2 linked regions of the Saccharomyces cerevisiae S288C genome follow. The main gene of each other region encodes a partner of the protein of the gene in region 2 in a complex. Each region holds a gene or a part of one and is shown on either strand. Other genes may lie near its edges.

Region 1 (9,119 bases), on a different chromosome or scaffold from region 2:
AGTTACCAATTTTGGATACATCCACATACGCCCCAATGTTCTTAGGTTTGCCACGGCTAAATACGGATTTAAGACCATTCAACCAACCGCCAACTTGGTCGACAGCATTGGGTGTCTTGACAACCGGAGGTACATATTTAACCAGTGAATCATACAAATCCCCTAAGGAAGAGATGATACCACGCTGATATGTATCATCCCGTAGCTTCCCCAACTTCACCAGTCTGTCGTACTCTTGCAAGGGCGTCAGACACTTATTTGACTTCGTAGATTGATACCGACAAATGCGAAAGCTGCAATGCTGCACTTGTCGGAAGGTTCGAACAGCATTGGGCTTCAAAGCGATCATGATTTTAACCAGCAAATACTATGTTTCACTGCTTTACCTATTTATTCTTTGTTCTTTCGGAGCACCCGCAAATCAGAAGAAAGGAACTTCTCCCTCCCACTTTAAAGTAAATCCGGAGATTCCCGTTATTACCTTACATATCGAAATATGACCCATAAAAGATGTGTAAAATTACGTAAGACAAAGGAACTCGGCACACCTATTGAATAGGTAATAGTGGAATCAGGTGCCTAAATAAATGAATAAGAGTACTGTATTATCTAGTAGTTGTTATATTATCTAACCTTTACATAATACGATTATTTCACATTGTTATGTTTTCGGGTAATAATTATGAGATGGAGTGAAATTTCACGAAGAGATACAAGTAAAATAGCAGCTCTTCAATAGCAAGAAGAGTGGCGCTGAGATTGAAAACAACTGTGCTAGTGTAGAGCAACTTTGATAATAGCTGGTACGTTTCCGAGAATGGAAGTAGACAGTATATTAGGTTCCTTGAGCATAACTGATGATTTTGACCAATTGGTTGACGTCACAAGTCTGTTTGATGAATTGTGTTCAAAACTAAAACCAGAGGCTATCGTGAAAGATCCCAGGTTTGATTTGTTCGAGGGTACACATTCTTTAGAGGTCAACAACTCCAAATTAGACTCCAGTCTGATAGAATTGACAGCAGAAGAAATAGAATTTGATGTGAACGTGGCCTACGATCCACCGTTGGCAAGTGTAGCAGCCATAGCGGATAGATTACTTAGATGTGTTATCTCCTGGCTGAATGACTACCAGACTTTACCCACTACTGTATTAAGCTGCAGGTATACAGAAAGCTTATTATCGTCATTAGTTAAGGGAACAACTGCCGGTTCGTCCTGGTGTACAGGGAATATTTTGTATGATAAAGTACTAGGAAGTTGCATACTTGGCGTTTGTTATTTAACAAAATTTGTGCAGAAACTCTTGAGTGCTGGTATTGTTTTTGAAGAGGAGGATTTAAATTTTAATAACATGGGGTTTAATACATTCGATAATTTGCCGGGGCAAGATGTTGTTATCAATTCTCTCACCGAGAGCCTTCAGATATTAGAGGCATATTCTGATGATAGCTTACATTTAACTATGCTGAAGCATATACTAAAAATTATCATTTGCTTAGTCCACTTAGAAGACCATCTGACAGACTATTCCACAAAGACAAGCCACCTGGATGAGCTAATTGAAAACGCTAACTCGGTTAATGGCATATTTCCACAATTACAGCTGTCTCCACCAAAGGGTGCGTTCTCAACATATATACAAAAGCACAGGTCTAATCAATTCCCTCCCAGGAAGATTACGAAGTTACCGACGGATTACAGCGGCTTTATTACACTGGCAAATGATGTTAAAACAATACTCCTTGTAGATAAAGCCGAGTCTGCGTTGGAGACCTACCAGTTTGCCAAATTCTTCAACAAGTTGGAACAAAGGCATGTCATTGCAAGGATCTTATTCCCCTTATTTTTCATTAGAGACGACAGAACAGTTTTGGGTAAATTTTCATATACCCAATTTTATTTGCTACATGTCAAGGAGTTTTCAGCACAAACTCCATCTGAATTTGAATCCTCTATTGGTAATGAACTTATCCAAGAAAGCTCTAATATGCTTTTAGAATGGTACCAAAACTGCTCCCAAAACACATGTAGATATAGACAAGGTTTTAACAGGCAACTTATTCTATGGGATTCTCTTCAAGCCCAGTTTGAAAGTGTCAATTCACAAGTTTACTGTTCGTGGACATATTTTATGAAACTATCAAGTATGATCGAATTCTCTTTAAAGGGGTTTGATTTGGATATTTACAAACCCTTTGAAGCATACTCTATGTTTTGGTATGTTTATTATTTAAGTCACCACTTAGAAACCTTTTTGAAAGATAGTCAAAATGATATTGAATCAAATATTAATGCCATTCATTCCATGAACAAAAAACTTAAAAAATTGAAAGCTGGTGAAAAGAAGGACCAATTGAGGCTAAAGTACAGGTTTGCTATGGATAATGAAATGGAACAATTACAAGCTACCAAACAATTTTTAAACTATCTTTTGAAGGAAATTAACATTACCAAATCTTTATGTCTAATAGAGGTTTTCCAATTTGCAATTTTAAAGTCATTTGGTTTAATTGACAACAAGAATAGTACTCCGTCAAAATTCTCTAATGAACGGTTAATCCATAATTTGAGATTCAAGCCATTTAATTCAATTGGTGTTCCTGAGTTACCAGAATATGAAGTATTTCAACAAACTTTAAAAGATTTTGTCATTGAAGAAAAAGGAGCTGCATTTGATATAAAGTTAGAAAGGGCCACTAACTTTATCGAAACTGAAGTGCGCAATGTCGTTAGTTCTATTGATGAGATAATGCAAGGAATCAAGGGAGGCGATAATAACGGCGTTCTAGTAACAGGAACAAGACTGGTTCAAGAGCTCTCTCTGGAGTACTATTGTAAACTAAAACATACTTCTAAAGCATTATCAGTCAACTCAAAAGTTATCGTCAACACTTTGAAAAAGAACATTAAAAACAAGGACTCCCACGAATACAAGGTTGAATTAGTTCATACAACAGAAGGATGGAACTATTTCCCCATACAAACATTGAGAATAAAGCAAGACCGCTATAAATAATCTGGAATTTACCCTAACTGTACAAAATATATTTAGCATTATATACCCGCTATTTAATTATTATAAAGGAGACCTTTATACTCAAACAAATGAAGCCACCTTATGCCATTATCCCATTCGTACCAGTCTAAAACAAGATAAATACCCTGTTTAACATCCGAACACCAAATATGTGTGGGTGTCAAACAAAGAGACAATGTAATGAGACAATGTACTGCTTGTAAACTATAACAGTATCAGCTCAATTTCAATGCCATCTACTCCAGATATCGTTGCGATTGTACCTACAAGCCGCCTACAACGGCGTTATTGTTGTAAGCTGGTAAAATGCAGTGCGTTCCCCCGTTGTGAGTTCGGGCCAAACTTACTTGGCTGGGAGTTCCGTCCGTACAGTTGTGGCTTGCTGCCTAGACTTAGGCGGACGCGGCGGCAATTACTCCTGGGCTCTCCCTAGAGCTGGAGAGACACTCTTGGTAACCGAAGGGAAAATCCCGGAAGAAAATTTGGAATCCGTTAACACTGCTGGAAATGGACATCTCCTAATACTGAAAAAATTATTCAAAGTCTAGAATTTTGGTAAATTTCAAGGCTTCTTTGAGTTACAGTTCGTTACTATTACACCTTAAAGGAACTTTCTTTTGGGGTCTAGAAAGTCGACAACAAGAACAAAGGATATACAAAAATGCCTCCAAAGTTTGATCCTAATGAAGTTAAATACTTGTACCTAAGAGCCGTTGGTGGTGAAGTCGGTGCCTCCGCTGCTTTGGCTCCAAAGATTGGTCCTTTAGGTCTATCGCCAAAGAAGGTTGGTGAAGATATTGCTAAGGCCACCAAAGAATTCAAGGGTATCAAGGTTACCGTCCAATTAAAGATCCAAAACAGACAAGCTGCTGCCTCTGTTGTCCCATCTGCTTCCTCTTTGGTCATTACTGCTTTGAAGGAACCACCAAGAGACAGAAAGAAGGACAAAAACGTCAAGCACAGTGGTAACATTCAATTGGATGAAATTATTGAAATTGCCAGACAAATGAGAGACAAATCCTTCGGTAGAACTTTGGCTTCCGTTACTAAGGAAATCTTAGGTACTGCTCAATCTGTCGGCTGTCGTGTTGACTTCAAGAATCCCCATGATATCATTGAAGGCATTAATGCTGGTGAAATCGAAATCCCAGAAAATTAGAAAAAAATTAAAGAAAGTTTCAAAGCTTTTTAGTTTTTTTATTGTTTTTGTATTTTAATATGATAATTGCACAAAATTCCAATACGTTTATTTTCTAATTTTTGATTTCGATTCTAGGGTTATACTTTTTCTATCTGTTTTGTCTCTTCTCTTCCTCTCTGGATAACCACAATGAAGAGGATAAGTGACACATTATATTTCTATAATGTATTTCCGAAAATTATATCTGCATGTGATTATACCCTCCGTTTTTTTGTTTTTTCATTTTTATCTTTTTTTTTTTTTGCTTTTCACTTCATTCTTTTTTCTTACTTTGCTTTCCATGCTTGATTCTTTACTATTATTACTAACTTGTGAAATAGTTTTCTAATTTGCTTTTTATTAGAAAAGAAACCATCTTGAACGTTTGACAACACTCTGGGACCAAGTTTCGATGGTTATTTTTTTATTTCCATCGATGTCTTTCACTGTACTTAGTTCCAATTTATATTGCAAACAAGATTAATTTAGGCGATTACTCACTAAGATATACCTATTTCTACTATGGTTATATTAGTCCATTTCATAGCCTTACATTTTCTCTTAGTACGTACTCTCTTGGGATTGGTCTGTTACATTAGTTCGTAAACACTTGTTAATCGTTATAGTTGAGGGAGGGTATATCTAAATATCTGAACTTACTTCTGCTAATGGTTGACGACCAATAACTGATTCGAAAAGTGGAAACTTACAGTTCCTTCAAGGCTACTTTCAGATGCGCTGATGGGCGTGCTTGACACCCATCAGCTTTTCAAGTTATGTATACGTTAATTGCAATAATGAAAGGAGGAAAACAAAACCTTTCCTGCGTATGTATCTATGGGTCTGAGCAACTTCCCAACTTACTGGCTGCCTCTGCGGTAAAAACTATCAAAATATTATTTTGCATTGGTAAATATGATAGACCGGACATAAAATATCCGCAAAAGTAATAGTCTTCAAAATCAACGGACGCTATCATTTTACCCGGCCTTTAAAGCGTGAATAACACGAAAAATTTTATTGCGATGGCCAGAATTGCCTTAGAGGGCAATTTAACATTAATCTGAGGCTGCGGTTTGCACTTAATTCGAAGTTTGAATCGGGTATCCATTAACAAGGGTGATTCTTTCCACAAGTGCATCTTTTTGTCCACAAAAAAAATGACAGGGAAAGTCAACAGAGACCTTTTTTTTAAACTAGCTTCTGATCTTCGAGAAGAGCGTCTACATGCAGCTGTCGCATTAATAAAGGACTTATCCGCATTAGATTTGCCCGACGATGCAGAAGAATGGTCTTATGTATTGAATCGTTTAATCAAGGGTTTGTCGTCTGACAGAAATAGCGCGAGGTTAGGATTTTCTTTATGTTTGACGGAAGTAATCAATTTAGCTGTTAATATGCCACCAGGTCAACGACCAAAAGGTTTAGAATCAACGAACGAGTTCTTGAGCACCTTATCAACCATTTTGAACGTTAATGTCAATGAGGGAACAAAAAAATCCATGAAGGGCAAAGATGAGCGTGGAATTTTATTTGGGAAGTTATTTGGCTTGAAATCTCTACTAAATGAACCTTTATTCTCAGAAATATTTGTTAAAGATTTGGAAAAAGGAAACACCGAGTTTTTCATTCGATTCACGGAACAGCTAATTGATCTGGCCCTGAAGAAAAACTGGATCAAAGAACCATGCTTTTTTACCCTTTTCCAGACTATGAAAATGCTGCTACCTTTTATGGATGAAAGTTCCGCTGAAAAAATTCTTCTGATATATGATAAATATGACCTGACTCTGACAAATGAGGGACTGTCAACTTATTTGTTGCTGAAATATGAAGGTGATGAAAGTCTAATTCCCTCGGTGTTGGATTTGAAAAATCCAGGTTGGAAGGATAACGACCCTCTGGCAAGAGGAAATCTGCCCCTTTTAACAAAAGTATTGAGAAACTCTTCTGTAATTCCGGATGCCAATGGAGGTTTAAAAGAGACGAAAAAACAAAAAAACACGAATTGGAACCCTAGGCTGCATTTTGTTTGGAGTGTTCTGCTACCGTTGTTTGGTAATGGAAAATTAGAGAACACTAGTCATATTTCGAAGAAAAGGAAGAAAACCAACAATAAAAAGGTTCAGAATTCAATTCAATTTCCAGAGTTTTGGAAAATGGCCGTGGACGAATCATTTTTCAATGAGAAAGCTTCTAGTGAAAGAAAATATTTAGGCTTTCTAATAATCGACGCGGCTTTCAAGGCAGTTCCTGGCTCGTACATCGGGTTTTGCTTCAGCCAAAACGTTATGAGAACATTGATCAACCAATCAATAGATTCACAAAGAGTTTTAAATAAGATTTCCCAGTTAACTTTAGACTCCATAGTGAAGGCTTGTGAAGAAGATTCTGCAAACAGACTAGTACCTTGTTTAAATGCAATGTTATTTGGTCCTCACGGTTCCATAAACTTTGATAAGTTAACAAAATCTGGCACCGTTTCCAAACTTATTGCAATTAAAGAATTACCTTCTACTGTTCTTGCCCAATTACTCGATGTGTTTTTTCTACAGTTACAAGATAAAAAGGGAGTTTTATCTCATACCCTTTTTGCTCTTGATTCCATCCTTCATATAGTTCGTGCACACAAAGTCGAAATCAATGACATGGACATAATGAAGCCCGTGTTGAGACCCATCGTATATATGGCTTTCTTCAAACATACATCAGATGATCTGAAGTTAGAACAGCTACACGAATTAGCCAAGGAAAGACTTTATTCCATCCTGGGAGAGTTGACAATAAACAAAGAAATACGTTGCAAAGATCCTGAAATAAACTCATGGCAATATCTGACATTAAAGTTAATACTGGACATTGAAAATTCTCATGTAGGAGATTTAATCAATCCACTGGACGAAAATTTAGAAAATATAAAAAACGAAGCTATATCTTGCTTGAGTAAAGTTTGCAGATCAAGAACTGCTCAATCTTGGGGTCTAAGCACGTTGTTATCTATGTGCTTAGTACAATTATATGCAGGTGACACCGATTCTATTTCTGTGATCGAAGAACTTTGCGAATTTTCCAAACACGAGAATAACTCAATGGTAGGCATCACTGAAATCTTACTATCACTTTTAGCCCAAAAGAAGGCCTTACTCAGGAAATTGAGTTTAATAATCTGGCAGCAGTTTATTGAAGAAGTTGGTTTGGAAGAATTGCAAATTTTATTAGATATTTTAAAAGCGAGAGAAAACAAGCAAGGTTTTGCCCAGCTATTCGAAGGAGAAGAAGAATTTGAAGAAATTAAGGAAGAAAATGATGCCAGTGAAGACGAATCGAAAACTGGTAGTGAAAGTGAAAGTGAAAGTGAGAGTGATAGCGATGATGCTGATGAAAAAGATGAAGAAGACGAGGCAAATGAAGATATTTTGAATATTGATAAAGAGGCCACTAGCGCCTTAGTGAAGGCGTTAAATTTACCCGATAACATAGTTAATGATAAAGGGGAAGTTGACTTAGACCAACTCGAAGGGCTTTCTGACGACGGTGGAGACGATGAAGATGAGGAGTCTATGGATGATGAAAAAATGATGGAATTAGATGATCAGTTATCCGAAATTTTCAAACGTCGTAAGGAAGCATTATCAAGCATATCTACTGGAAACCAGAGGAAATTTGAGGTAAAACAATCTAGGGAAAACGTTATCTCGTTCAAGCATAGAGTTGTCGACATGTTAGCCGTTTACGTCAAATATTGTGAAAAATTGACTCTTGCTAATAAAAGTGAACATTCCAACAATTTAGGAGGCTCATTAAGCAAGCTCGTTTATTTTATTATCCCAATGCTGAAATGTGTCAATGAAACTCTTGATAGGCCACTTGCCGACAAAATTTCTAAATTGTTGAAGGGTAAAATATTCAAGATAAAAGTAACTGCATTCAAAGACATGAACAAAGACATCGAGCTTATGGATTTGTTGAAAAAAACACACAAGCTGATGCTGACTTCTAAGCCAGGTCAGCATGCTGCAGTGTTTTATTCAATGTGCTCAACCAGCTCACTGTTTTTGAGTAAGTTATACGTTGAAATCGGTGGTAACGACAAGCTTGACGAATTGATTGACTTGTATACTGCAACTACCAAAGAGTGGATGCAAAAAGGAAAATGTGGACCTAACATTTTTATTGATTTCATCAATTGGCTATCTTCAAAAAAGCAAACTGTAATGGATAAGGAATAATCTAAGTATATTTTATCACTCCTCAAAATCGGATTATGTATGTTGATCTTTGTTTAATTACGCCTTTTCGCCAAAGAAACAATAAAAAAACTATATATTAGCTTATTATATCCTTGTTCACCTTTGGTGGACCTCCCACGATGGGTAGACTATGGGAACACTTCCAAACTTGTAAAATATTTTCTTCTTCAGCACTTGCTACCAACCAAGGTATTTGAGGGTTCAAATCAAAATCATTCACTGAACTTCTGTGACCTGCGTGGACCATGATCAATTCAGGAACGCCGTCTTCCGCGTCATCAGGTGTTTGTTCTGCTCCAATTTGTTTCAAATCCCACATCATCAATCTATTGTCTGACCCGCTGGATACAACTACACCGTCAACATGGGTTGAAAATTCCAAATTGTTCACTGCATCTTCATGACCCGACATATGGTGTAATGGTTCCTTCATGTTTCTTAGATCATATAGATAAACATACGAGTCCATACCTGCGGCCGCAAGGAGGTTTGAGGAATGATGACTAAATGCTAATGTGTTGAAAGGTTGCGGGCATTTCACAGTATCGATCGTAGTATTGTTTGCCCTGACGTCATTTATTTTTAAGAGAGAATCTTCTGAAACAGTGCCGAATAGATCTTTATTGAAGTTGTGCCATTTATTATCATT
Region 2 (3,973 bases):
ATTGAAACAGGTGAAAACCATAATGGCCAAAGTATATCTAACGAGAATGATGTCAAACCCATTTCTATTGAAGCACCTCAATTTTACAGGTATTGGTCGGCATAACAATGACACATGGAGATCATTTTTGTTTTTGTTGTAATTATTCTTCATTAGTAACACTTTCTATTTTGTTTCGCTCTATATTTTTGCTTATTTTCTTTCTTCTAGGTTCATTTCTTTAATGGTGCGTCACTTGACTTGGCTTCTCTCTGATTTTTATCCCATTTCTCTAGATTCGACTAGACATGTTATGTACATGTAGATATATATCTATAATTGTGTTATTTTCTATTTTTTCTATTTTTTTTATTTAAAAGAGCCTTTATCAAAAGTTATTTTTCTTGTTCTGTGTTGTTCTTAGTTTGATTTTGATTCTGTGTATTGGCCTAAACAAATTAGTATATAGTAGTATATAAATCAAATATTCACTTTAAAAGATTTTAAAATTAAAAAAGCATTTAAGCAGAGATACGTTTTTGGGCAGCAATTCTACCTCTTTGTCTAGAAGTCAATCTGACAACCTTCTTTTCAGCAGCCTTGGCGACAGCTTCTTCCTTTTCGGTAACAACCAATTCAATGTGAGATGGAGAAGATTCGTACTTGTTGATTCTACCGTGGGCTCTGTAAGTTCTTCTTCTTTGCTTTGGTGCTTGGTTAACTTGGATGTGAGAAACGTACAACTTGGTAGCATCTAGACCCTTAGCCTGTTTTAAAAAGAAAATTAATAGTAATTCATTGTTAGTAAAAATTTTAAAGTCGTAGTGTAAGAAAAAATAAGATTAGAAAACACTATGCTATACGCTTAATAGGTATCCATAGTTCCTTTTTGCATGTCCCATTTCTTCTTTATTTCTTTTCTCTTTCATTTGGAAAACTGTTAATTTTAGCTCTTTCGAATCGTGCATTCATGCAGAAAATAGGATGCAACACATATGAACATATTCTAATACTTTATCATCTCCCGTCAACACATCATTATTATTTTTCAATCTTATTTTTCATATTTTCATTTTAAACATACTTCAGCATTGGCAGCGGCGTTTTGCAACAAACCTTGAACGAACTTAACAGATTTAGCTGGCCATCTAGCCTTGGTGACACCAAATTCCTTACCTTGGGCAGTTCTACCAATAGAGGAGTTAAATCTTCTGAATGGGATGGCTCTTTGGTGGTCCAAAACTTGGTCCAAGTATTTTTGAGCCTTAGTCAATTCCCAACCATTAATGGCTTGAGCAGTTTCCCTGGTGTTCTTGAAAGAAACACGCAAATAAGAACCACGAGCTGACGCAGATTTAGCTGGGTTGGTTGAAGTAGCACCGTATCTTGCCATTTTAAATTTGTTCGTTTCGTTAATTTTTTGATTCACCAAGACAAAAGTCAATAAAACAAAAATAATGCAGGGAAAGAGTACAAGCTACACTAAAAAGAAATTTCTATATAGACAATAATAAACACCAATTACTAAGGGCTACCTACACTACTACACCTCTGCATAAAAGGTGTTGATGAATTTAACAAATACGATCAAATCCAGACACTTCCTCTCACAGTTACCCATCATCCGCCAATTCTCTCTGAGTTTGTGAGAACCAACATTCTGCAAACTCTGGATGAAAAATTAGCCACCCTGCTGCATTGTCACGGGCTGGACATTTGGTATTCCGTTTGGAATAGGAAGGAGCTAGGGGCAGACCTCAGGGTCGAACCGAGCCTAGCTGGAAGGAGATCATCACAGAAAGAGCGAAAGAGCTTCACTTCCCACGCCTACTTTTGTTCTCCGACATAGAAATATCATATCCTCAAAAACGGCCAAAAAAGTTTCAGTTAAAAAAAAAACAAGGCCATGTATGGGTGAGAATGTCCAGGTGCAAATTGAAAAGGATGCCGTCCTTTTTCCGTCTTCCTTCTTTTTCGTAAGCGACGGGTTTTCAAGAGGTTAGTGGCATATTAGTCTGCTGTAGATTTATATCTGAGATCTTCAATCGATGCGATAGATAAAGGTAAGGAAAGCTTTCACGATGGTATCGAAGACTTGGATATGTGGCTTCATCAGTATAATTACAGTGGTACAGGCCTTGTCCTGCGAGAAGCATGATGTATTGAAAAAGTATCAGGTGGGAAAATTTAGCTCACTAACTTCTACGGAAAGGGATACTCCGCCAAGCACAACTATTGAAAAGTGGTGGATAAACGTTTGCGAAGAGCATAACGTAGAACCTCCTGAAGAATGTAAAAAAAATGACATGCTATGTGGTTTAACAGATGTCATCTTGCCCGGTAAGGATGCTATCACCACTCAAATTATAGATTTTGACAAAAACATTGGCTTCAATGTCGAGGAAACTGAGAGTGCGCTTACATTGACACTAAAAGGCGCTACGTGGGGCGCCAATTCTTTTGACGCAAAACTAGAATTTCAGTGTAATGACAATATGAAACAAGACGAGCTGACTAGTCACACATGGGCCGATAAAAGTATCCAATTGACCCTAAAAGGGCCATCTGGCTGTTTGAAGAGCAAAGATGATGACAAAAAAAATGGCGACGGCGATAATGGTAAGGATGGTGACAGCGAGGGGAAAAAGCCAGCTAAGAAGGCAGGCGGGACTTCGTGGTTCACTTGGTTATTCCTATACGCTCTACTGTTTACATTGATATACCTGATGGTTGTATCATTCTTGAATACCAGAGGAGGCTCTTTTCAAGATTTCCGTGCTGAGTTCATTCAACGTTCTACTCAATTTCTCACTTCCTTACCTGAATTCTGCAAGGAAGTGGTTTCGAGAATCTTAGGCAGAAGTACCGCCCAAAGAGGCGGTTATAGCGCCGTTTAAATAAGTTTACTGGCTTACAATTCGATATTTTTGCAACAGCAGTGCTAACCTTTTATTATATTTATATAAACTCTAAGCTTTTATATCTACATTATACTAATAAAAAAAACTTGTTCCCGTAGTAAGTTTTCCGGCTAAGAAAGGAAAGGCTATTGCCGCTTTCTTTTAATTCTTCATCAATGCCTTTAGATTGTCTATTGTTTTTTCAACAGTAGTTTCTAAATAGTTCTTCTTTATCTTTAATGTTTTTCTTTGATCCAGAAGAACAGTTTCGTCATGTGATAAATCATTAACGTATTTGGATTTATCCTGTAAGATAAACGATTTACCGCAAGATCTCCATACTTTGTCCGTTGGATAAGACTCTAGTTCTTTCTTTGTCAATTCAGCAAGCTTTTCTTGTCTGTCCAAATATGCTAGCTGCTGATTGACCATATCCAATTGTGTCCTGGCGTTTCTTAAGCTCACTGTCATTTCTTGTGCTATCTGTGACATGTTTGTAAGTATGTATTATTGATTCAATTTAGTAAAGAGCTCTGTAGATAGTTCTTTAATTCCCATCTGCTCATCTGAGAAATTTCTTCACTGTTACTTTTTAATTGCTATATCTTTAAACTCATTCATTTTCTTCAGAGAAAAGAAAAAAATTAAGGTAAAGGAAAAGGCTAAATAAGAACAAAACACTTGAAGGCAAACGAAACCCTACAAAAGAGAATACGGAATGCTGCCATCATTAAGGAAGGGATGCTTCATTGTGAATTCCATAAGATTGAAACTGCCCCGATTCTACTCATTAAATGCCCAGCCACTGGGGACAGACAACACGATTGAGAATAACACTCCTACGGAAACAAATAGATTGAGCAAAACTTCACAGAAGTTTTGGGAAAAGGTGTCACTAAATAGGGATGTTGAGAAAGGAAAGATTGCTCTACAATTAGATGGCAGGACTATAAAAACTCCTCTAGGAAATGGAATTATAGTTGATAATGCAAAGTCTCTCTTAGCATACCTATTAAAACTGGAGTGGTCGTCCCTATCCAGTCTTTCCATCAAAACTCACTCTTTGCCACTAACTTCATTAGTGGCAAGATGCA

Evidence for each region. The genes of interacting proteins can lie anywhere in the genome.
Region 1: RPL17B (region 2) and RPL12A share a complex: the UniProt entries of both Saccharomyces cerevisiae proteins name them as parts of the large ribosomal subunit.

The regions. Positions count from the first base shown.
Region 1 is NC_001137.3:47,801-56,919, reverse strand, and holds RPL12A (60S ribosomal protein uL11 RPL12A), read left to right. Parts: upstream 1-3,701; coding exon 3,702-4,199; downstream 4,200-9,119. Other genes in the region: AFG1 (Afg1p), read right to left, coding at 1-349; MAK10 (Mak10p), read left to right, coding at 818-3,019; POL5 (DNA-directed DNA polymerase), read left to right, coding at 5,381-8,449; HAT2 (Hat2p), read right to left, coding at 8,547-9,119. UniProt on the Saccharomyces cerevisiae protein: Component of the ribosome, a large ribonucleoprotein complex responsible for the synthesis of proteins in the cell.
Region 2 is NC_001142.9:88,185-92,157, reverse strand, and holds RPL17B (60S ribosomal protein uL22 RPL17B), read right to left. Parts: upstream 1,373-3,973; coding exon 1,064-1,372; intron 747-1,063; coding exon 501-746; downstream 1-500. Other genes in the region: SWI3 (Swi3p), read left to right, coding at 1-105; ATG27 (Atg27p), read left to right, coding at 2,061-2,876; PFD1 (prefolding complex chaperone subunit), read right to left, coding at 3,042-3,371; ATP synthase complex assembly protein ATP12, read left to right, coding at 3,598-3,973. UniProt on the Saccharomyces cerevisiae protein: Component of the ribosome, a large ribonucleoprotein complex responsible for the synthesis of proteins in the cell.